Caenorhabditis elegans: one gene and its partners. The protein of the gene in region 1 interacts with the protein of each later gene in a pairwise test. Each region holds a gene or a part of one and is shown in the gene's direction. Other genes may lie near its edges. The genes, in order: R02F2.5, piki-1 and scrm-5.

Region 1 (3,204 bases):
ATCTACAACAACTGAGGAACCAACGACAACTTGTGAGCCCGATGAACCAGAAGCTGAGGGAGCTGACAATAATCAAGAAGAAGAAGAAGAAAACAACGACGGGTTCCGAATGAGAGTTTAAGCTTCTTTCATGGTACCCTACCTTCTCCCACATTTAATACCGGATGAACTACTTGGATTGCTTACCGAACGGGTGTGCATACCGCTGCATTTATTTATTCATTTATATATATAGGTGTATGTGTATGTATTGGTGATATACCGAGATTTCTACGAATTGATGATATTCAATAAAAACTACAGTACAATTCTATCGTTTTTATCAACGTTTTTATCAGCGTTATTATCAACATTTTCAGGTCCATACACCATTTTGAGCCTACAAGCCTATCCGCCTATCTCACTCCCTCGTGCCTACCTGTGTTTGCCTTCGCGCCTTCCTTGTTAACCCCTATTTTCGTGAATGTTAGCTGTCTCAAATTGAACTTCATTCGTGCCTAAATAATAATAATAAAAATCTGGAAAAAAATAATTTAAAAAGTCGAAAAGTTTAACATTTACGTGTAAAACTTTCCAAAAATCAATTTCAAACTCAAAGAAATTCATTTCTGAAAGCCGTGAGAAAATGGGATGCTGCGGTTCAAAAAACAAGCAGAATAGTAGGAATTCAAATCGAAATGGACAACAAATGGTAGGTACTGTAGGATTACGCTCTGCAGAACCAAGTTTCGATTGGTTTACTGTAGTGGTACGGTAGCGGGTTTCATAGGTTTATTGCAAGATTACGGTAGCTCATCGTTGTAATTACAGTGTTACTGTAGTAATACTGTACTTGTACGCTTAAGCTTGCATCAGCTTTCGCTGCGAACTCTTTTGAAACCAAAGTACTACGTGTTGTTAGGGGTACGGTTGGCGCAGGTTTATTACCTGGTTACTGTAGAGTCACTATAGTTTTGCACACCTTTTACAATCTCGACAGCATTCATTTTTAGAGATTCCTCGTCTCAAAAACTATATTTTCAGAATCAAACCGGAACCCAATCAGGCCCCTATCCTGCCCAGAATCAACCTCAGAATAGGAATCAACCTCCACCTCCACCTCGACAGCAGCAGCAGCAACAAGCTCCACCTCCCAATGGACAGAAGCCTCCACAACCTCAACGTCAACAACCGTCTCCAGGTCTCCCGTACCAGCCACAACCGCCTCCTGCGTATGGGGCTCAACAGCCATACTATCCACCGCAACAGCAAGTCGTAGTGGCTGCTCCTCCGCCAGTGGTCATTGTGGATCCTTATCCATGTTATGGAGGTGGAATGTACTACGGTGATCCATTCTATTGTGATCCGTTTATGTTTTAATCGAGATGTCAAATGAAAAGTAAGAAGAAGATGAAGTGACTTGAAAATATTTCCGATAAGAAATAATTGATAATTGATCCTTTTTTTGCAATAAAAATAGTCTGAGATTGTTTTCTAAAAATTAGTTAATCGGTCCGAAACTGGCAAATTGATCCACCAAAATTTATCCACGGGAAGTGTCGACTGCTGGCATTAGAAAAAGGAAAGTGTCGGCCGCTTCCATTTCTGCGTGAACGCCTTGCAGTTATTTTTTTGGAAATGATTTATTTTTCAAATGTTCAAACTTGCCGCTAAAAAATTTTATTCCCAACTTACTTTATAATCAAAAGAACTCAAATATATCGATGAAAAATGGGATGCTGTCAATCGAAGAAAGCTAGAAATAATCAACGGAACAACCAACGCTCGGACCAAATGGTAAGTCTCCAAGTTTCATATGAGGTGACCGTGCCTGCCTATAATCCCTGTTCCGGGTTCCATAAAAAAAACTGAATAGACACAAGGCAGACGAAGGTCGCCTTGAAGTCAAGCTCAAGAACTCCTCCTTGTACCTCAACTTTTCAGAATCGTCAGCACACTCAACCATCTCCAAACGCCTCGACAGAGCAAATGGTAGGGAAAATCGATAATTTTCCGAAAATCAATAAAAGAAAATATCGATTTTTCAGGCATACCCTCGACAGCAGCCTCAAGGGATCCCACAGGGACCTCCACCGGCCTACGCACCTCCAGCAGCACCGAAAGCTCCTGAGAAAGTCGTGGAGCCCAAAAATAGGAGAGTAACGATTGCAGAACCACCGGAGAGAGTTGCGGAGCCATCACCAACGCCTGAAGATCCAGAGCTTTTTACTTGCATCGACCAAACGGAGAAAGAGGTTGAAAAGGAAGTGGAGAAGAGAAAGTCTGCTCCGCGAGCCCCAGTCCCGGCACCTACACCAGCTCCTCAGGCAGCTCCCCAGGCAACTCCGGCTGCACCTGCTCAAGCTTACCCTCAACAACAACAAGCTGCTCCCGTGGTCTATGGATCCCAACCAATGGTCATGGGTGCTGCTCCGGTGGCTCCAGTTGTCATGGCTCCGCCGCCAGTGATCATGAGCCCTTATCCATATTATGGAGGTGGTGTTATGTTCGACCCATATTATAATGGATTTTATGGAGGATATGGATACGGAGGTTTTGATTTCGGGTATGGAGGATATGGTGGTTATGGATGCGGATTCTATTGACTTTTTTGAACTCTTTTGTGTTTTTTTGGAATAAATTTTTTAATTGAACACTTAAAAATCAACAGAACAAGATGAACAATCAACAACATAAAAATGGATATTATAACAAAAAAAACAATTAATAAATTCGCTTCGAAGCCCTCGTGATCGTAGAAAGGAACTTCTTGTATCGGGTTCTCTCAACAACTGGAAGATTCGTGGCGAGCAACGCGGATGCATTTTTATCGGCCAGTGAATGTAGTTTTGACATGGCAAGTAGACTGTCTGATCCATAGAATACTGCGTCTCCAATGATTGATGCAGTCAGCTGAAGAATAAAAATTTAGACCGTTTTTGAGAATAATTGAAGGTTTTTTTAAAATTTCAATTTAGTCGTTTTTCTTGGTAACTTTTACCAAAACATACTCAACAAGCTCCCCCTAATTTCGAAAATTAATAAGTTGACAGAATTTTTAAAAAAAATCGAGTTCGAGAAGAAATAGTGATTATTACAGATTATTTAAAATTAAAATGTCTATTTTCTTCTTTAAAAAAAAGGGAAATTTCTCAAGAAATACTAGTTCTCATTTTTATCAATTTGACAATCCTGAAAAAAAAGATAAAACGTTTTAAAATGGGT
Region 2 (3,757 bases), on another chromosome or scaffold:
AAATGTGTATTTTAGTATTTTCCACAGTTTTTATGGCTCAATCACACTTTTGGGCAAAAAAATACAACAGTCAATTTCGCTTGTTCATAGAAAGTGAGTACTTCCAAAGTGTTCTAGCTCCGCAGGCAGCTGAAAACTTTTCAATTAGAAAGTTATTAGGAATGAAGTGATTGACAAATTACATAGTGTATCTTTTTTCCATCTTGCATGGCTGAGCAGGTAGGAGCACCTAATTATGAGTCAAATATCACTAATTTTGACTGATGATATCTCCGTACTCTGCACAGAAAGCAATAAACTATTAAACATGAAACATGTTCCATAAGAACTTGAACAAGTTTGTAGTTGACAATTTTTTGATATCTTGCTTGCCCGATGTGGGACATGACTTCGAAAAACTGTCATAGTAGGTAGATCAGATAGAGGAATAGAGGTTTTTACAGTTTCTTAGTTTTCGAAAGCACCACATTTGGCAAGAAAGTACATAGATACAATTAGGGAAACATATTTTTACAATATCTGATAAATATTTGACAAATTATGAAAAAAAATTTGGATTTTTTTGAATAAAAAATCCAAAGGGTCCGCCCTTATGAAAAATTTCTAAAATTTTTTCGAAAATTTTTTTTTGAAAACTTTTCTTAATTTGTTCATATGTCATAGAAAAATGTAAATTTGATTGTTTTTTTTAGTTTCGATGTTCAGAGCACGATTTCAGACGAAAACCTGGGGTTCAGTAGAACCCCTAAGTTCAAAAAACGCATTTCCTTTGGATGTGTATATCTTTGTTGAAAAATTTTTTCTGACAAAGTGATTAACTACAAAGTTGTTCATCTTAATCTAAAGTACAACTTTGTAGTTGATGGTGTTTTTTCAAAAAATTTGATGGCCGAGATATGAACAGAAAAAGACGAAGAAAATACAGGCATGAAAGTGCCGCAATTAACACAACTTTATCTCGACCATCAAATTTTTTGAAGAAATATCATAAACTACAAAGTTGTACTTCAGATTAAAATAAAAAAAACGCAAAACCCGCAGACTTGCTCCAACAGCTCCAGTTCTCCAGCTCCAGTCCAACAGCTCCTGTAAACGGGCGATTTGTGGCAGATGGCCTCTTAGTGGCTCCAAATCGGAAGTTTTTAAATTGGGCGAAGAAGTACAATCATCAGCATCGAATGTTGCCTAAAGTAAAAACATACTCTGAAAATTGTCTCAAAGTTAAACAATGCAATTTTATTGACTTTTGAAATAGTTCTGAATCAAAATGCAAGAACTGATAAGAAAGTGTGCTAATCTTTAAGAAAAAGTCGTTGTCTTGTTTTTTCGTTTCTTAAGGGCATGCGCTGGTGATTGGAAATGCGCAATTAATAGTAGTAGTGACGGCTGGTAGGTGTACACTGCATATTCTTTTTCCCTGACAACCGGACTGATTCACAAAATTTAGTTGTCTTGAAAAAATTGCGAAAGTATTGACATGAAGTTTTTGGATACAAATATTCCCCAAAACAATCCAAAAACCAAGTGTTTACTTTCCCCTTCGGTATGTGTTTTTTCCCGAACCGTTTTGCCGGGAAGAAAAAAAACAAGAATGTTTGTGTGTGGATTTACGTTACGGTGTTTGCACACTGTTTGTCTGCGCAGACACACTATCGCCTCCTCCTCCTGCACCGTTTTTTTTGTGTTGCCCCGTTCGTCCTCGTCTTCTTTTTTGGTTAAACAGGTCACTTGTCTTTGTCTTTCTTCCTCTCTTTCTCTTGTTCTCCCTCTGCGTCCATATGGTGTTTTTTGTTCTCTAGTTAACCAATTGGATTGATTAATGCAAAGCTCAATATGCGTTTTTTTTGCTGAATAAGCTTATTTCGAAATTATTTTAAAATTTGAAAATATTAGGCTTGTTATTTGTGTAGTAGCTGTTTCAACCATCATATTTTTATTAACATTAATAGTGAACATGTGAATAATTTATTTATTATTTTTTTTAGCATTTTCAAATTCTAGTTATTCATAGATTTTTATTTTATCCAGTTAGAATAATTTTCAGCTCGCAAACTGGGCGTGAAGGAGGATTATGAGCGACGATGAAGAGCTCCAACTAGCCATCGAAATTTCAAAGTGAGTTGTGTAAAAAGACACCTGATGCCCATGGCCCGGGAGACCCTGAGCACTTTTTTCTCCTTTCTTCTTCTTTCTTCATGACGTCTCACAATTTCAGAAAAACGTTCAAAGACGAGCAGAAGCTGAGGTCGAACGACTTGGACTTGATCCGATTTGAGAGTCCTGATGAGCCAGCGCGCCAGCGGAAAATCAACCAGATAAAGCAGTTGTACGAGGCGAATAGTCCGGGACCTTCGTCCTATTCGGGGTGAGTCATTTGGTATTTCAATTTGAAAATAGAAAAATTATTGTGTCAATTGTGACTCATAAACCAAAAAAAATTGAATTCTAAATCTTGGAAAATATGTTTTATAAATCTATTTTTTGATGAAGAACAAGCACAACCGATTCTATACGGTACTGTTGAAATTAATTTTTAACAAATTACAGCTTGTCAAAAATCAAAAGCGATTAAATTGACACGGAATAAAAAGAGCTGACGATTTCCTAGCCGGCTCAAAATTAAATAGTTATCATTGCAGCTCACTTGCCACAAGCCCCATTGATTTCCGTCCAGTCTACAACGAGCCTCGTGCTGGACCGATTCCACACTCGCAATCATATCCGAGAAACTATTTCCAAGACTGGTCTGCAATAGCTTCCACGTCCCAGCCGCCGGCGTTTCCACCTCCACCGAGGCCTCCAAAACCAGAGCAGTATAAGTTTCCACCGGCTCCATCAGTTCCATGTAAGTTTTAATTTTTATATTAGAAGAGTATACATATAATTAGTACGTCCTAAAAGTATAATATCATATCAATAAATACATTTTCCAAAAGAACAAAAAAAATCCTGTTTAATTTTACAAGGCTATTTAGTGCTCCATGATCGCTACTTTGTCCCACCACCACCACCAGTGCCGCCAAGACATTCGAGAGTCCAACAGTCACCTCCAGTGCCGATACATCCCACACCTCCAGTCTCTTCCACACCGCTCAGACATTCAGCTCCATCGTTCGCGTCGGACAGTCAGCAGTTTCTGTCCCGTGAGTTTATTCAAACAATTTATTGTCTTTTTTTTGGTTGGTTTGAAAAATTGAAGGAGACACTTGACGAAAAAGGGTCAGATTGTTTTTCTTGTTTTCTTTTTTGGAATTATGCAAAAATGTAGAGAAATTCCTGCGGTGTCATGCACATTCTTGAAAATGAAAAACATATATATTTGCTAAATACATGTATTTCTGAATTTCAGCCATTAAGCCATTCGAAATAAGTTTCAACTCGACAGTCGACACATCGTCTAATCAAACTGGCAGTCATGATCATAGCATTCAGTATCAGCCGTTAACTCATCTCTACGTGCCATACGTAATGCATTCCCTCAACTCATCGTACGGAGCTCTTCTCAATGGTGACTTGATTGATTTGAGCGCTTTTGAGGATAGCTCAAATGCTTCACAAGACGAGGTAGGAAAATTAGGTTTAAAGCTAAAAATATTAGACTTTTGCAAAGAAGATAATTTTATTAGTATTCTAGTGTATGCTATCTACTGGGTGGTCCATATTTTTTGATTATAGACCACCCAGTATCAGACAGATACTTCATGCTTCTCAACTAATTTTGTATGTAAACGCCCAAACTTTTTTGTCAAAGTAAATT
Region 3 (3,757 bases), on another chromosome or scaffold:
TTTTAAAACAATTTAGCGTACGCCACTCGGAGCGCGCGCTTTGTGTTTCCAAACGGCTGGTAGAAAAATATTTTCATTTTCAGAAATTTTATGACAATTCACCATTCTCTCTTTGCGGTTCTGTTGTTGTGATTCTCTCGAAACGAAACCCAAATGAGAATAATATTTCCAATCTAGTAGCCAAAATTCGATCGCATCATGGAATGGTTCATGTAATTTCATCAAATACTCCATCAGGTGGATCCCAACCACTCACCCTCTATGACCTCTCATTTAAAACAAATGGACTAGCCGATTTTCGAAATGATGATCAATTCAACGATGTAAGATTTCAGAGGTCGCTCCTCACTCTTAATTAATTTCAGTCTCAAATTCGTTTTTTTGGGCTATTTTGGCCTGTAGCCATTTATTCGGTGAATCCTGTAGTGTCCGGAAAAGGCTCCATTGTACTGCCTTCACTGTTCCACACTAAACCCAACGGGACATTCTTTGCCGGGGTCGACTTTGCAGTAACTGTACAGAACCATGGTACAAATTTTGATATGATTATCATAACTTGTTAATATTACAAATTGAGGTCCCATTGATACATTCCAATCATTTTACCTTTCTTGGTACAATGCTTCATCATCTACCAATGGTGGTTTTTATGGATATCCAGGATCCCCATCCAATGAGGTAACGTTTCCTACATGTACTCATACGATACCGTTTTTTGAGGTTACTACCTTTGAAAGTAATAACCTCACGATTAGAGACTAAATGATTAAAGGATTAAAGGTCGATCCGTTTTTCAAGCGTTGTGCACTGATTTTTTTGGTTTTTTGAGACCAAAAAAACCAAAAAATAAATTGCAACACTGATTCAGCAAAAAATTAAACAAATGAGAACAAAAAACCTTGTTCAATCGTTCGTGTGTTCAATTTTTAATATTTCATGAAAAATTCCTGTTTTGTCCCGTTTGATATCAAACCGTGAAATTTTTTTTGTTTTTTGTTTTTTTTAGTTTTTTTTTGTTGGTTTTTTTGAAAATTTCGATTTTTTGTTTCTTGTTTTTTGGTCCAAAGTTCGACCAAAAATTTTTTTGTTTTCTGGTCGAAGTTTGTTTTTGTAATACCTGGTGGTGATCCTACTGGGCGGTAATTTAAGCCACACCCAAGCTGGGGACTGTGGCCGTTTTATAACTTCAGTAACTGTTTGATAAGACAATAAATTTCGAGAGCAGGCTCCAGTAATCCTATGCCTCACTAACAGGGAATATACGTTAGCTATTTCAGAAAAATAGCACAATTCGAGCAGGCTATGGAAACCTCGATGCTGCTATCTACAACATGAAACTTGAGTACTCATATTCTGACAATACGCCAATCAAACTCCAAATTAGACAATACGCTGCGATGTAAGATAATGTTAGTGCTAGTTCATCAGAAAAATAACTTTTTTCAGCGATATTGACTACTGGCCACCATATGCTGACTAAATGCCAAGTTTTGCAATTCATTTGAATAAACATTTGAACATTCCAATAGCTTACACATTTCAACAGATAACACTTCAAAAGTTTTTTAGTCTGGGAGATTGATAAAAATTTGTTTCAAAGTAATTTTGCAGAAATTAAAATTCTGCCACACTATCCTGTATGGAAGAATTTACATGTCGATGTGCATTCTTCTAGTTGATAACTTTGAGACTCAGCGAACGCTTGACAAGTTATCACTGCTTGTTCAAGTACTGATTTCGAGCTCCAAATTTATTGTGCTGGTTGCCAGGAGCCACTGGTTTCAGGTTTCATGCTGCAAAGTCATCTTCAGTGTTTCACTGAAGATCCACAAAACGAATATATAGTTTGGCTGCTTAACCATTGAAAATCTATTAGTTTTTGTTCAGTACCGAAAATTCAGATCGGTGAATTCGAGAAAGTTTTGGAAGAGCTGCGGGATGTTTTTGTTCATAGTTTCTAGAAAATTTGGAGCCACGGGGTAAATAAATAAATTTTTAAATAAATTAGATAAGTTCAAACGTGAATATGAACTTTCTGCCCTTTCTGCCCTATCCCTTTTCCCCACGTATTCAATTTTCGAAACAACAAATAAAATCAATACTCCCTTCGATTGAAATTCATTCATTTTCGACTAGTGAACAACGATCTGATATGTGAGTTTTCTTATATCTGTCAGTGTTCCCCAAAAAACCCGCAAAATTTTTTCAGAAAATGAACAAACAACCGGGACAGCAACCATTGAGATCGCTTAGCTTGACGTCTGCGGCCAAGTCACCTGAGGAGGTTGAGCCGGAGCAGGATTCGAAGAAAGGAGAGCCACGTGCCAAGGCTGCAGGATTCGGAGGAGGTGGAGGTGGTGGAAAGAGACTCCCAGAGGCAAGATCTACGCCAATGGTCATTCCGAACCAGGTAGCAGCGATGCCGGTTCAGATGACTGTAAGTCATTCTAGCTAATAGTGATCGTTTTAACTTTTGACTTTTCAGGGCTTCGTCCAACTTGTCGCCAACAACATTCTCAGCGCCATTGCCCATACCAACTCTGTGATGGTTGTCCAATGCATCAAACCCCTCGAGATCTTCACCGGATTCGAAACTCCGAATCGCTACGTGGTCCATGACATGTACTGCCGCCCGCTGCTTTATTGTATGGAAAGATCGAACATCTTCGCTCGTCAGTACGAAGGAAACGATCGTAACTTCGGAATGCAGATCATGGATACCCACGGAGCTCAGGTGATGACGTGCTTCAGAGGAAGACCATGCTGCTCGACCGATGATTTTCTGAGCACCCAGTTCCTCGATCAGCAGATTGGGATGATGAAGAAGGAGTGCTGCAATCCTAATGTGAGTGCTAGTATCAAGTAAAACTACAGTAATCCAGAGCCCTGAAGCATTCTTTGGAAAAATCACATTTTTCTCAAAAGAGATCTTTTCGCTGATCTGAGTTTGCATCAATCTTGATCGAGCTTAGAGCCAGGGCTGTGCGGCAAATTTTGAAACTTGCAGTGCTCGGCAAACGGCAAATTTGCCGCACACCCCTGATGCCCTATCTATAGTCCGATCTATAATATATCTGTAACTTGGCACATAGCAACCTAGAGTCTTTCCGCTTTGCTCTGCCGCCCAGCCGCAAGACATTGATACACAAAAGAGAGCAAAGCGGAAGGACTGTAGGTTGCAATGTGCCAAGTTTGTACTGACATAGATATAGACTATAGGTTACTAGACTGTCCAAATGTCTTTCAGTATTAAGATGTTTATCTAGAAAGCCTATTACTTGGTACATAGACGTACAGGTTTCACGCCTTTGCTCTGCCGCCCAGCGGCTAGGCATTGACACACTAAAAGAGAGAAACACAGAGCAAGGCGGAAGGACCGTACGTCACCAATGTACCAAGTTACAGATATAAATTGCACTATACAATTGCACTATACGTAGATCTATAGATCTATATCTATATACCGCTGAACGGCAACATCGGGACTAGCATGACACCTTGTACAAGGGCAAACTCGGCAAATTTGCCGAGCTCAACTAACTCCGAAAAATTTGATGTTTTTTGAAGCACCAAAACTACTGAATTTTTAACGCGGCAAATTCGCCAAATTCGCCAAACTTGCCGCACACCCCTGATCAGAGCAATCGTTCCTATAGGCTGAAGCTTTATTAGCTCTTCACCTGAATCTCCCATCCTCCTTGAGACACATCCTATTAACCTTTTCTTTCAGTTCGAGCTCGTCGGATCCGGCTGCAAC

What was found.
Region 2: the proteins of R02F2.5 (region 1) and piki-1 interact in a two-hybrid assay, tested with the Caenorhabditis elegans proteins (2 studies listed by BioGRID).
Region 3: the proteins of R02F2.5 (region 1) and scrm-5 interact in a two-hybrid assay, tested with the Caenorhabditis elegans proteins (2 studies listed by BioGRID).

Annotation. Positions count from the first base shown.
Region 1 is NC_003281.10:5,477,694-5,480,897, forward strand, and holds R02F2.5 (Prion-like-(Q/N-rich)-domain-bearing protein), read left to right. Parts: upstream 1-1,624; 5' UTR 1,625-1,710; coding exon 1,711-1,776; intron 1,777-1,923; coding exon 1,924-1,971; intron 1,972-2,027; coding exon 2,028-2,585; 3' UTR 2,586-2,635; downstream 2,636-3,204. Other genes in the region: Protein lon-1, read left to right, coding at 1-121; R02F2.10 (Prion-like-(Q/N-rich)-domain-bearing protein), read left to right, coding at 626-691, 1,024-1,359; R02F2.6 (uncharacterized protein), read right to left, coding at 989-1,231; R02F2.7 (Myb-binding protein 1A-like protein), read right to left, coding at 2,704-2,892.
Region 2 is NC_003284.9:15,244,680-15,248,436, reverse strand, and holds the start of piki-1 (Phosphatidylinositol 3-kinase piki-1), read left to right. Parts: upstream 1-2,037; 5' UTR 2,038-2,071; coding exon 2,072-2,115; intron 2,116-2,215; coding exon 2,216-2,365; intron 2,366-2,639; coding exon 2,640-2,845; intron 2,846-2,975; coding exon 2,976-3,143; intron 3,144-3,349; coding exon 3,350-3,564; intron 3,565-3,757. UniProt on the Caenorhabditis elegans protein: Phosphatidylinositol 3-kinase involved in clearance of apoptotic cell corpses by phagosomes.
Region 3 is NC_003282.8:4,160,310-4,164,066, forward strand, and holds the start of scrm-5 (Phospholipid scramblase), read left to right. Parts: upstream 1-2,111; 5' UTR 2,112-2,154; intron 2,155-2,209; 5' UTR 2,210-2,212; coding exon 2,213-2,437; intron 2,438-2,485; coding exon 2,486-2,845; intron 2,846-3,730; coding exon 3,731-3,757.